Arabidopsis thaliana: one gene and its partner. The protein of the gene in region 2 interacts with the protein of the main gene of each other region in a biochemical or structural test. Each region holds a gene or a part of one and is shown on either strand. Other genes may lie near its edges.

The links. The genes of interacting proteins can lie anywhere in the genome.
Region 1: the proteins of PAB2 (region 2) and LARP6b interact in a test that uses a peptide from one of them, tested with the Arabidopsis thaliana proteins (one study listed by BioGRID).

What each region holds. Positions count from the first base shown.
Region 1 is NC_003071.7:18,204,701-18,210,213, forward strand, and holds LARP6b (RNA-binding protein), read right to left. Parts: upstream 3,519-5,513; 5' UTR 3,332-3,518; coding exon 2,732-3,331; intron 2,660-2,731; coding exon 2,578-2,659; intron 2,486-2,577; coding exon 2,391-2,485; intron 2,305-2,390; coding exon 2,233-2,304; intron 2,154-2,232; coding exon 2,074-2,153; intron 1,976-2,073; coding exon 1,873-1,975; intron 1,781-1,872; coding exon 1,733-1,780; intron 1,643-1,732; coding exon 1,574-1,642; intron 1,398-1,573; coding exon 1,236-1,397; intron 1,162-1,235; coding exon 835-1,161; 3' UTR 535-834; downstream 1-534. Other genes in the region: AT2G43960 (SWAP (Suppressor-of-White-APricot)/surp domain-containing protein), read right to left, coding at 1-81, 202-207; ITPK4 (inositol 1,3,4-trisphosphate 5/6-kinase 4), read right to left, coding at 3,737-3,880, 3,961-4,090, 4,175-4,320, 4,416-4,478, 4,582-4,695, 4,864-5,014, 5,156-5,361. UniProt on the Arabidopsis thaliana protein: Transcriptional regulator.
Region 2 is NC_003075.7:16,334,371-16,340,844, reverse strand, and holds PAB2 (poly(A) binding protein 2), read right to left. Parts: upstream 4,555-6,474; 5' UTR 4,114-4,554; coding exon 3,846-4,113; intron 3,613-3,845; coding exon 3,494-3,612; intron 3,307-3,493; coding exon 2,650-3,306; intron 2,561-2,649; coding exon 2,483-2,560; intron 2,408-2,482; coding exon 2,318-2,407; intron 2,051-2,317; coding exon 1,913-2,050; intron 1,679-1,912; coding exon 1,508-1,678; intron 1,406-1,507; coding exon 1,256-1,405; intron 1,172-1,255; coding exon 953-1,171; 3' UTR 531-952; downstream 1-530. Other genes in the region: CER9 (RING/U-box superfamily protein), read right to left, coding at 5,981-6,472. UniProt on the Arabidopsis thaliana protein: Binds the poly(A) tail of mRNA. Appears to be an important mediator of the multiple roles of the poly(A) tail in mRNA biogenesis, stability and translation. In the cytoplasm, affects both translation and mRNA decay.

The DNA.
Region 1 (5,513 bases), on a different chromosome or scaffold from region 2:
GGCAATTGAAAGTCTCTCCAACATAATACTTCTCAGCTCATCATCATCTGGACGTGGTGGTGGAGTTTTATTCTTTGTTTTCTACAAACACAAGGATTAAAAAATAACATAGAGAAGCGTGTATTACACGTTTCAAAATGGATTATTATTGGTTTACAAAAATTGTCTCAACAAACTCTAAGAAACACCGTAAGCACGTACCTCCATAGCCGTGACGCCGAGAAGAAGCGGATCGAGAGAAATCTGGCAGAAATAAGGCTTATTACTGGTTTTAGGTTTACCCCCTCCCCAAACTGGAAGCGTTCTAGGTTTTCTAATGGGCCTTTACTATTTGGGCTTATTATTTGTTACGCTTATTGAGTTATTGTCTTGTTATTGGGTCATTTAGCAAACAGTGTCTTATTATTGGCTCTGAGTGTATAAGGATACCCAAGGTCACACCATTTAAGTAGATTTTTTAAAAATATTTAACTTAATTAATTATGATCATATGTTAACTGTTACTTATACAATACCTTCTTTTTTGTCAGCAGTGACAAGATAAAAATGTCATTATTTCATTAGAAAAGCTTTTAGGACAAAATATTAACTGAAATTGCTGTTTCATTACACGTACACTATATGAGGAAAATGTAGTTTTTTTGTTGTTTCCTTGTAAGAGAAGCGTAATTGAAAAGTATTTCGAAGTAAGTAAGACAAATATAAAGTCTGCAAAACTAGCCAATCCCCATGGGAAGGATAAATCTCTCTCTTTCTCTCTTGCTCTCTCTCTATTTATCTCCCTTTTTGACCATTCACAATTCCACATCACCTCCTTTTCAAAACAGCTCTGGATCACTCTGCCTGAACCATAACCGGCTTTCCCCGTCCCATTGAGAATCCTCTGGTCCCATCAGGCATTCGTGGTCCAGGTGGTTGCTGTTTCCCCATGCCTGGTTGCTCCATGTTGTTCATTGGATTGTTCGAAGGTTGTGTTCCCACTTGATGATGATGATGATGATGATGATTTCCTCGCCCATTGTGGTTGTGGTTTTGGTTATGGCTGTGGTTGTTGTTCTGGTTTTGGTTCTGGTGTGGTTGCCCTCGTCCTCGTCCCTTTCCTCTACCTCTGTTACGCCCTTTTCTCTGCCCAGCCGCTTTCTCATTCCCTTGATCCTCTCCCTGTTATGTGGCAAAGTTTAGATTCATCCATGGATAACAAAGCAGAGACCCAATAACGTATTTAGTCTACTTACTATTGGCTGCTCTTGCATATGTGTATCCCATTCCCCAGAACAGTCATCAGATTGTTTCTCAATCGGCTGCTGCTCGGATGTTGTAGCATCATCTTCCTCATGTTCTACATCTGCATCATGTCCTTTTCTTCCTCGCCCTTGACCTTGTTTTGGTTCCTTCGTCTGTATGATAGAATAATAACATATAAGCCAAGTGGAACTGACATTAATTAACCCAGACAGATGACATTTTTAATTCACAGAATGTTCTCAACTACTAAGATATCTGGACTCGGCTTATTAGAGTGAGAAAGGACGGGCAAAGGCACAGTGTGTTTGTCAAACTTAAAACCACATACCTGATGCTTTAGCATCAACCGGACTTTAAGACCGCTCCTCCAATTTCCCGCTTCACTTAACTCGGTAACCTGTACAGTAACATGCCTTCAGTTAACCACATTAGCACAAGAGGCATCAAAATATATAGAGTCTGAAAATATGTGTAGGTGAGGCATTACTGCTCTCTCGGCTAGCTCAACAATCTCATACTCAACAAAAGCATGGACCTATAAGAACATGTAAAAGAGACATCAATTTTGCATCCAGTTAATCCAAAACTACGAGGCAAACACAAAGCCGCATGGGTCCATCTAGTTACCTTGTTACTGAAAAGCGTACCATCGCTTTTAGCTGCTGATCTCGCTGCGGGTGGAGCACCGCTTCCATTATTTTGAGGCTGGCAGGTACGGATGTTCTTCACACTGAAGACAAACACTCATAATTTTAGAAAACCTCAAGTGTATAAAAAGAAAGAAAAAGTAGATTCTAGGTTTTAGAACAAGATGAAACAGTTGTGTACCTTCCAACAGTTGAAAAAATCTTCATCAGGTTTTGGTAGCAATGATCCTCAGGGAGATTCTCAGCAACAATAATGCGAGACTGTATATAATAATATTTATTAGCATTATCCAGTATACACTATACAGAAATATAGGAATAGCAGGAATGAGTCAAGTACCTGAAGCTCTTCTATAGCCGACTCAGTAATCGGACTTATGCGTCTCACTTTCTTTCCATCTTCACTAACAAACTGTGAGATGACTCAGTCAAAAGTTAGAACATAAAATCTCACGTATAAAAGTTATTGACCAATACACACTAACATAAAGAACTCACAAGCTTAGCTGAGTTCTGTAGCACTGCGGCAAGCTGAGAATTATTGTTAATGACAGCTTTAATTTTCTTGAACGACGCAACAACATGAATAGGCACTGAAATCACCAATTAAGAATTGGAACAAAAAGATTATTACACTTTTATGCAAAACGAACTCATATGACTTAGCAAACAGACATCATCTTACCATATCCTTCAGGATCCTTGCAAATGAATCTCATGAGATGATCTGTAGTAGCCAAGTTCAAGTCACTGAAATAGTATTCAACCTGAAACCAAACTGGATTAGATTTAAGATCACATGTGGTCTTAAAAGAGTGTCAATGTCTGAATCTAATCACCTGATTCACAATCTTCTGGATAGAATCTTCAGGCAAACCAGTTTTTGAATCAATAGAAACAGAAGCTCCAGTTTCAGTCACTTGATCGTTCTTAGATTCTCTCTTACTATGATCTCTCCGATCATTCTTCTTTGAAACCAAATCCGGTTCCTGCTCACCACCGACACCACCACGCTGCTGATACTCTCCGTGATTCCTCACCGGGACATATTGCTGATTCTGATGACGATTGTGATGATGATGCTGATGAAAGCGATGATGAGGGTGGTGATTTTGAACAGGAACCAAGTGTGGCTGGATTGGAACAGGACCAAGAACTGGAGTATTGAAAGGAGGCTGGTGGTGATACATATGAAGCATACCGTGCGGCGGAGGAGGCGGGATAATCATCCTCGGAGGTTGAGGCAGCGGAGGAGTAGTTCGACCAGGAACGAACTCAGGAGCTCCGGCGTTGAGTCGACTTAAGGAGAGAGACCTCAAGAGTGATGGATCTGAGGAAGAAGAAGCTGAAGTAGTAGAGGAAGTAGAGTGGGAGTGAGATAGATCATCGGATTGAGTAGGAGGAGGAGTAGAGGAATCTAGGGTTTGTTGATCAGCCATGGATGATGACGATTGAAGGATGATAGATGAAGAACTTTCCCAAGTAAAGTTAGGGCTTTTACTGAAGTGGGAATCTTCTTCTTACAGATTGAGAGATAGATAGAGAGAGCAGATCTCTCCGGAGAAGGGGAGAGACCAAAAGAGGCAAAAGTCGCTTCTTTTCGTTTGTTTTTGGAGAGAGCTTCTCGAGTCTCAAAGGTCGTCTCTTGTCGTATATTTATAGAATGTGACTTTTGTTCTTATCGACAAAAGAAAAAAAACTTCACTTGTTTGGTCTTAAAATTACAAAATTCCATAAAAGATGTTTCTCAATTATTATTAGTCTCAGAGTATGAAGCATAAAGCAGCTTCAGGTCATTCCTAAAATAAACAGACAGAAGAGTTTCGCTTCCCACAATGTTGGATTCAATGCTTCTCTTGGACATGTTGGTCGAATCTGTTTCTGATGGCTTCCCAGAATGCAGGAACTGCGATGTTATCCGGAACTTCTTTAAAGGATGGTAAGTAGTTCAAGTCTACTATCACGTGATCTCCTGTTCCTTCTTGAATCTGTGGAGATTAATAAAGAGACAATGTGTAAGTAAATGAGTTATATATAAAGGGTCTTGTGTGATGAGGATGATACTTACAACTACGTCAAAGCCGAAGATTGTGAGATCAAGCTTCTTTCTTAGCCAGGTAGCTGCTTCTGTAACTAGCTCTAGATCAATCTCGCTTACCGGGTTCTGGTTTGCGGAATCAACAGGTAACGATTTTAAGCTGTGGAGGTAATGGAACTACCAAAGTTACAATCTTTTTAGTAACTGAAGGCTATGTGTTCATGGAACTGTTATGAAATCTTGCCTGTCAAAGAGAATTGGTTTGAGACCATTTTCCTCCGCTGATTTCCTCAGACTAGAAGAACTAGGGATCGATTTCTTGACCGCGTGAAAGATCGTTTCCCCCAAGACGTAAAACTTAAAAATCCTAGATGAATGGTCCACATACTCCTGCAAAACATCGGTTGAGAAGTTTTTCTATGCTTGACATCTTGATTTAGGAGTGTGCCCCTAGATTTGGGTATCCATATTACATTATGACTTACTTGGATAATGGCAGGAACAGGAGTGTTCAGATTCTTAAAATCCTCGACTCGGAAGACAATGGCCTGTGAGAAACACATGAAAACGAGGAATTTTTTTGTTCTGCTGTGAAAAGAGCAACAGATATTGCGAGATATCAAATCTAGATGGAAAGTATGAGATATTCACCATGCTGTGAGCATCAGCAACACCACAGGCAACCTGTGGTTTCACAATACATGGAAGAGAGAGTCCAGCTCTTGACAAGTTCTGAGCCAGATCTGGTTCATCATAGCTGTCAATCTGCAGATAAGGAACTCTGATATTAATTTGCTAAAGTAAAAAAGAAAAGCATCAATGCGAAACTGGAGAAGTTAAGAGGCCAGACTAAAGGTCTCAAGAGATAACTATGTAAGATTATAAGCATAAAGAAGATTGACGAGTTGATCAAAATGAGAGGACTTTTACGACCTTGAGAAAGCAGGCACCTCTTATCTTTCGTCCTGCTGCACCAAGGCCCTCTAATCCAAGAAGAATATGTTGCATCTTGAGTCGGTCTACGACTGGATATATATTTCGAATAGGGTCGACTATGGCACAAGCATTTTGATCTTCCATATACCTGCAAATACCTTATATCATTATGCAAACCTGAATGGAGAATTTTTAACAAGGTTTCTCATATTTGTGTATGATGGTATCTATACGCCACTTGCAGATATAACTGAGTGCTAGATTGAAAACAAAGAATTGAGAAGCTTACTTTTTCAGTTTCTCCATGCCGGTAGAGAATGTAACTGCAACAGATGATTTTGAGTCGGAGCAGTTCAGTTCAATGGACAAGATTTCATCAGTTGCTTTGTGGAAAATGATATCAGCGTGTTTGAGTTGAGATGCAAGAGGGAACTCAAACATGAGGGGCAGAAATATCAACCCACATGAAGTAGGATACATGGGTAAAGCACCCCTCTAAGAAAATCAGAAAATTTAACATCGGTGAACATTACATATATATCCATATTACTTTCATGAATCAGTAATGACCTAGAGGGTAAAGCATATATACGACCAGCACACAGAGAGCCAAAAACTAAGCAATGATCACCATATATATAATACTT
Region 2 (6,474 bases):
CCAATTTCGATTTAACAAGAAACCCTAATTTGAACCCTCTTTTGGTTTCAAGTGTTATTGGATTTTTATGTCGTGATTGTGAGATTGTTGAGTGTTGCCATCAGTTGAAATATCTAGAGATTTTGATAATAGTTAAACCTTTCATACACTCGAATCTTTTAAATATTTTCGAATTAGTTCACAAATATCATCAGACTCAATAAAAGATGTGTTGCTGGCTTTGCTGCATGTCAAATAGATACAAAAAAAAACAAGTAGACTATATAGTTCATGACGCAATGTACTGGAAATCAAAATTCATGTACGAATATTCTAAATCCTTGGCGTAGATGAAGACTTTCTTTTTTTTGGTAAGTAATTTCTCATTCTCAAATAGTTGCAGAAAAAGTAGTCCAAAAACCAGATCAATAACTGAAACCAAAAACAATGGTAAGATTTCAACCAAACAAGATGTGTATCATGTTTCCTTAGACCTCTACTAAGATTTCTATTCGACTAGTCCCAATCAATCTAGAAGCAAAGTGTATAAAAAGTTTAAAATGTATTTCTTTCTCATTCAAACATTGTCTGCTGAGAATGAGACCCATTCATCCATTTTTACCAGGACACCTTTTTACCATAAAATAGAGCTTGAAAAACTGGTAAAAAAAATGACTAGAAGCAACAACCACCAACAGTCAAAAGGCCAAAGAGGGGGATCACCAGCATTGGCCTTATTGGTAATCAAATTCATCTTCCGTGAACACTAGATCGAACAAGCTAGAACACGCAACTAAATCAAAAGAACAAAGCAGATAGGTTTTTCCTTTGTGGTTTAAAAACGAAGGTTTAAAATAACACAAACGCAGTTATGTGGAGGAATCCAAATTCCCAGGGAGAAAACGAATAGCAAAGAAACAACTCCAATTGTATGGGAGAGACAAAAGCCAAAGATCAAATGATAAAAAGCAATTTAAGAGAGGTTCAAGGAAGCGAGCTGCTCGGTTGCACCACCAGCAGCGACACTCCTGAGAACATCCATAGCCTCTGCAACTTTGGCCTTGAGAGCTTCTGGTGACTCCAACAGATGGAGCACTTCAGTCTGGTCCATCTCCAAAAGCATCCCAGTCACTTTGGCTGCAGACTCTGCCTCAACCTGCTCCACCAACGGGTACAGCACCTCACCCAGCATCTGTACAAACACACCCAAAGGGTCACATTATTATAATCCAAGCAAAACCAGTCTCTCTATTTGGTTTTTAAGAGATTCTCTCACCGTCCTCTGTTGCTCTGGAGTAGCATTAGACAGATTTGAAGCCAAAGCTCCAATAGTCAATGGCATGTTGTTGCCCATATCATATGGAGGCACATCACCACTACCACCACGCCCTTGGGGATACCGGAACATCCGACCCCTTGGATGCATCTAACCACCATCCAAACAGAAAAACCATACGATCAACTATTAAAAGAGAGCCAAGCAAGCAAAGCAGCCTTTATTGCAATTAAATAAGGAAAAGAGAAGAACCTGTTGCTGCATCATGGGATTTTGCTGCTGGGAGTGTTGGATTCCCCCAGGACGTCTTCCTCCTCCAGGACGCTGCTGCTGTGGCTGAACCATAGGCATGAAGAAACTGGGTACAGGACCCCCACCAGGTCTCATTCCAGGAACAAGCTGCTGTTGGTATCCATACCCAGGCTGTGGCATTGCATAAGTACAGGTTAATATTATCCCAGCAGTTTCAAAATAGATTTGGAAAGGCTCAAGTATGAGTATAGCAACTATAGAGCTAAAGAATTTAAAAACTTTTCATGTGACTTAAAAGCATCTGTCAGCTTGTAATTCATTATACCCAAGGTAGAAAATAAACATGTGCATATCTTTGTGTAAAATCGTACACGGCTACTTAAAGTAGAGTAACATGAAGATTACCTGGGGAGGAATCATGGCAGGAGGGGCCTGACCATAGAACATTTGTTGTCCAATACCAGGACCACCCGGGGGATACACTGGCATGCGGGGACCAACAGACGGCTGCATTGCAACTGGCCTCACTTGGGAAAACTGAGCCTATTCACATCAATGCAAATACTCAGCAGCAGGAGAAAAAAGAGATTTTTCTGTGATACAAAAATACTAGGACATATGTTGTTTATGCTTTATATATTGTTGCACTTGATTATAAAGAAGAATCAGCATCAGTATTGATAATTATACGCAGTGGGACATTCTAAGACTTGTACATGATGGGTCCAATTGTTTAGAGTTGAAACTCCAACAGGCAAAGTAGGAGTAGTAAGTGTATCACAAGACGAGGTGATTCCAAGAGAAGCAAACCTGTAGTCTGACCCTTCTGTCTTCCTTCCGCTGTGCAATAGCCACATAGAGTGGCTTGCTTTCGATCATTTTACCGCTCAACTGTGACATCTGTACAGTATTCCACTGTTACTAACAATCAAAGTCCTCATAAATACAATCAACAAGACGATACAACTGACTTACAGCTTCAGTTGCTTCTTCGGGAGTTGCGAAAGCAACAAAACCTGAGCCTTTGCTTGTTCCATTAGGATCCCGCATCACCTGTAATATTTAATAAAAGAACTTCTTAAATAATGAACTAGGAGAGTCAACTCACTACAAATAAAGAGAGAGAGAGAGGGACATTGAACCTTGCTAGATGTAACGGTACCAAAAGGAGAAAAGATCTCTTTAAGTTTCTCATCTGAAATGCTAGGATCCAAATTCTTAACATACAAGTTTGAACTTTGAAACTTGTCTGCAGCTTCCTTCAAATTCTGTTCATAACGGACCCTTAATTCTGTTTCCCTCTCTGACTTCTTCTGGGCTCTACCAACATACCACTCCTTATCATCAAATTTGTGCCCATTGAGAGACTCCACAGCCCTAGCAGCATCATCAGCATTTTCAAAGTTGACAAACCCAAAGCCCTTGGACTTCCCTTCTCCATCTTTCATCACGACAGCACTTGTTATCTTTCCATACTCGCCAAAAGCATTCTTCAAGTCATCATCGGTAGTACTTTCCGCGAGATTCTTCACATACACATTGGTGAATTTCGTTTTGTTAGCAGTGGAGTCTCTTTCTTGTCTCCTCAGGAAAGGACCCACATACACTTGCTTGTCATTGAGCAACATGCCGTTCAGTTTCTCTATAGCTTTCTGGGCAGATTCTTCATTGGCGTATTGCACAAACCCATAGCCTTTTGACTGGCCTGAAGAATCGACAGCTACCTTGCACGACACAATGTTTCCAAACGATGAAAAAGTATCATGCAGTGCTTTGTGGTCGATGGACTCGTCCAAATTCTGCATATTATAGCCAGGTTTAGCATCAGAAAGAGAGAAAGAACACCCAATAAAAAAACTTACATAACTAAAGAAATCAACTACTTTTGCCAGACTTTTCAATGAATAATACAAGATACAAATTTTTTCGCAACAATCATCTCGTCTTACAGCAACTCAAATGTCAGAAGGATAGAGACAAGCGTACCTTAATAAAAATGTTGCCAGCGCCACTTCGGCGAACACTAGGATCACGATGAGAATACATAACCCTAATAGGTTTTCCATAAAGAGGTATGTAATTCAGTTCTTGGATCGCTCTTGCAGCTGCAACAAAGACACGAGATAAAGTACCATTAGAAGACAGAAGTAGCATTAAAAAGATTGATTAAGCAGGGGATAAGCTTTCCAACAGCACCAACCACATTGCATACATACAAACACCATAAAGTATCAACATTTAAAACACACCTCATTCAAATCCAGTACTGGTACTATCGAGCAAACCCTAAAAATTGGAAATTGTAAGAAGAAGTCCAAATAAAATTAAGGAGACTAACCGTCTTGGGGATTGGTGAAGTTAACGTATCCATAGCCAAGAGATCGGCGAGTGACCAAATCCCTACAGACACGAACGGTGACCACAGTACCCATTTGGCCAAACGCATCGAAAAGCTGCGAGTCCGTCACATTGAAATCGAGATCCCCCACATAAAGCGACGTGTTACCAAACTGGGTCGCCGTTGCTCCACCTGACGTCGCCGGAGCAGAAGTGACCGCCGCGGTCGAACCATTCGGAGTCTGACCCTGAAGTTGAACCTGCGCCATTATCTTTTTTTGGATTTTCGAAACTTTTTTGACTTTTTTTGGGGTTTTAGTTACTCTTCCCTCCCCTCTCGTTATTAGACTGAAACCAAATCGAAAACCCTAGAATTTGAAAGAAGAAAAAGAAATCGAATCGAATGACAAAATCAACAAAACTAAAGCCAAAGTTTTTATCTTTTCGTTTTTTTTGTGTTTTTATGGGTATATCAGAGGAGAGGGAAGATGAAATAGGGTAAGAAATTGCCGGCGGCGAAGCCTGCGACGGCGAGTGAGATATTTGGGGGCCGAGAGATTCTAGGCGAAACAAGCACAATTACGATAGATGAAAAAGAAGCATTACGGTTTCTCCTTTTCTTTGCTTTTATATTATTAACCCAACAAAAAAAAGAAACCTTTAATTCCCCTAGAAGAACCCTAGGAGTGTGAGATTGATCTCAGCCGTTGGATCGAGTCTGAAGTAAATCGTAGGATTGATTTTAGAGTTGCTGGTGAATTGATAAGGTCGTCTTCCTTCTCGTCACTTTCGGAAAAGTCAAACAGATACGCGCGTGTTTGACACTTTCGAATCTAATTAGTAACCAAGTTTGTTAAAATTTTGTACAGTGATGATATTTTCTTTGATTTATCTTAACATTTCTTAACTCTGATTAGCAATATTCTCACTGGATCTTGATGAATTTTGATTTTCCTAAAGTAAAAGTTGTTAATATTAATATTTACCGCACGATTTTATATGGTATGCAAAAAGTATCTTAATTAAATAACCAATATGTTAAGATTTGACTTATCAAAACAATTCAACTTAATACACGATTGGCCTTCCAGTAGAATTGTGACACGAAAGAACATAAGATGAGAGATGAGATTTTGCAATACGCAATCATTTCAAAAAGCATTACAATAGAAAGTAGAAACACACAAGGCATATATATATACGAAGCGTCATTACTCATTTCTTAAGATCCTTTGGATATTATACACAAACAAAAGAGGATCAACGGGATACACATTGACTAGTAAATATTTCCAAGCCTAAGTTAATACGACTCAGTGCACAGTTTCTTTCTAAGCTTCTTGTTGGATTGCACGTCTGAGCCTTAAGTCCATTATCAACATCTCCCTAAAGTCCTATCAAGATACCATCTCCCGCATCCTCACTACTTTGGTTTTGCCAAAGCAGCTTCCCCAAAGTTATGGAGTCTCCGACCAATGAGATAACGGTCATCACGGATAGAGTTGTGAAGGTTTCTAAACCAGAAGCAGAAGAGGCTCACTGAGAGACAACCTATCCATGCGAATCTGTAGACCGCTGAGTTCACTACTAGCGGATATCCGAGCATTGGGAACACTCCTCTCGCCAACACATAAGGCACACATAAAGCCGTTAGGAGTTTCATCACAATCGGGAACACAATCTCTCTAAGTACCCATAACCCTTGAAGCATATGGGTCTGAGATGAACCTGATATGGACATCTATCTAATGGGGTTATAACATTCCTCTTATTTTTATTCTGTTGGAAAATAAAAAACCAAAAACAGTATCAACGAGTATGTCTACAATCACACATCGGCCAAATAGATCTTCAACGCCAATTCCTTAAGGCTTACATGCACTAACATAAGAGACAAAAGACAAGAATTTGCAGTAAGCGAAGGTATTCTAGAAGCATTATCATAGAAACACACAAGGCATATGGACAAACGAAGCATTATTCTAAAGATCTTTTAGTTTCGTACACAAAAACAAAAAAAAGAGAATCATCAACGGATATAATAATTTACACATCGACTAATAATAAATCTTTCAAAGCCATCTCTTAACGGCTTAAGTACACAAAATGTTAAACGCCTCAGTGCACAGTTTCTTTCTAAGCTTCTTGTTGGATTGCACGTCTGAGCCTAAGTCCATTATCAACATCTCCCTCTCGTCCTATCAAGACACCATCTCCTGCATCCTCACTACTTTGGTTTTGGTTTTGATTAGCTAAAGCAGCTTCCCCAAAGTTATGCAGTCTCCGACCAATGAGATAACGGTCATCACGGATAGAGTTGTGAAGGTTTCTAAACCAGACATGGCATCTTTTTGCACAGAAGCAGAAGAGGCTCACTGAAAGACAACCTATCCACGCGAATCTGTAGACCGCTGAGTTCACAACAAGCGGATATCCGAGCATTGGGAACACTCCTCTTGCCAACACATAAGGCACGCATAAAGCCGTTAGGAGTTTCATGACGATCGGGAACACAATCTCTCTAAGTACCCATAACCCTTGAAGCCTCGAGAAGCCATCTTCTCTTACCCGCTCAAACTTTGCTCTCCAGCTATCATCCACTATTGGAAGCATATGATCCAGCATTACCT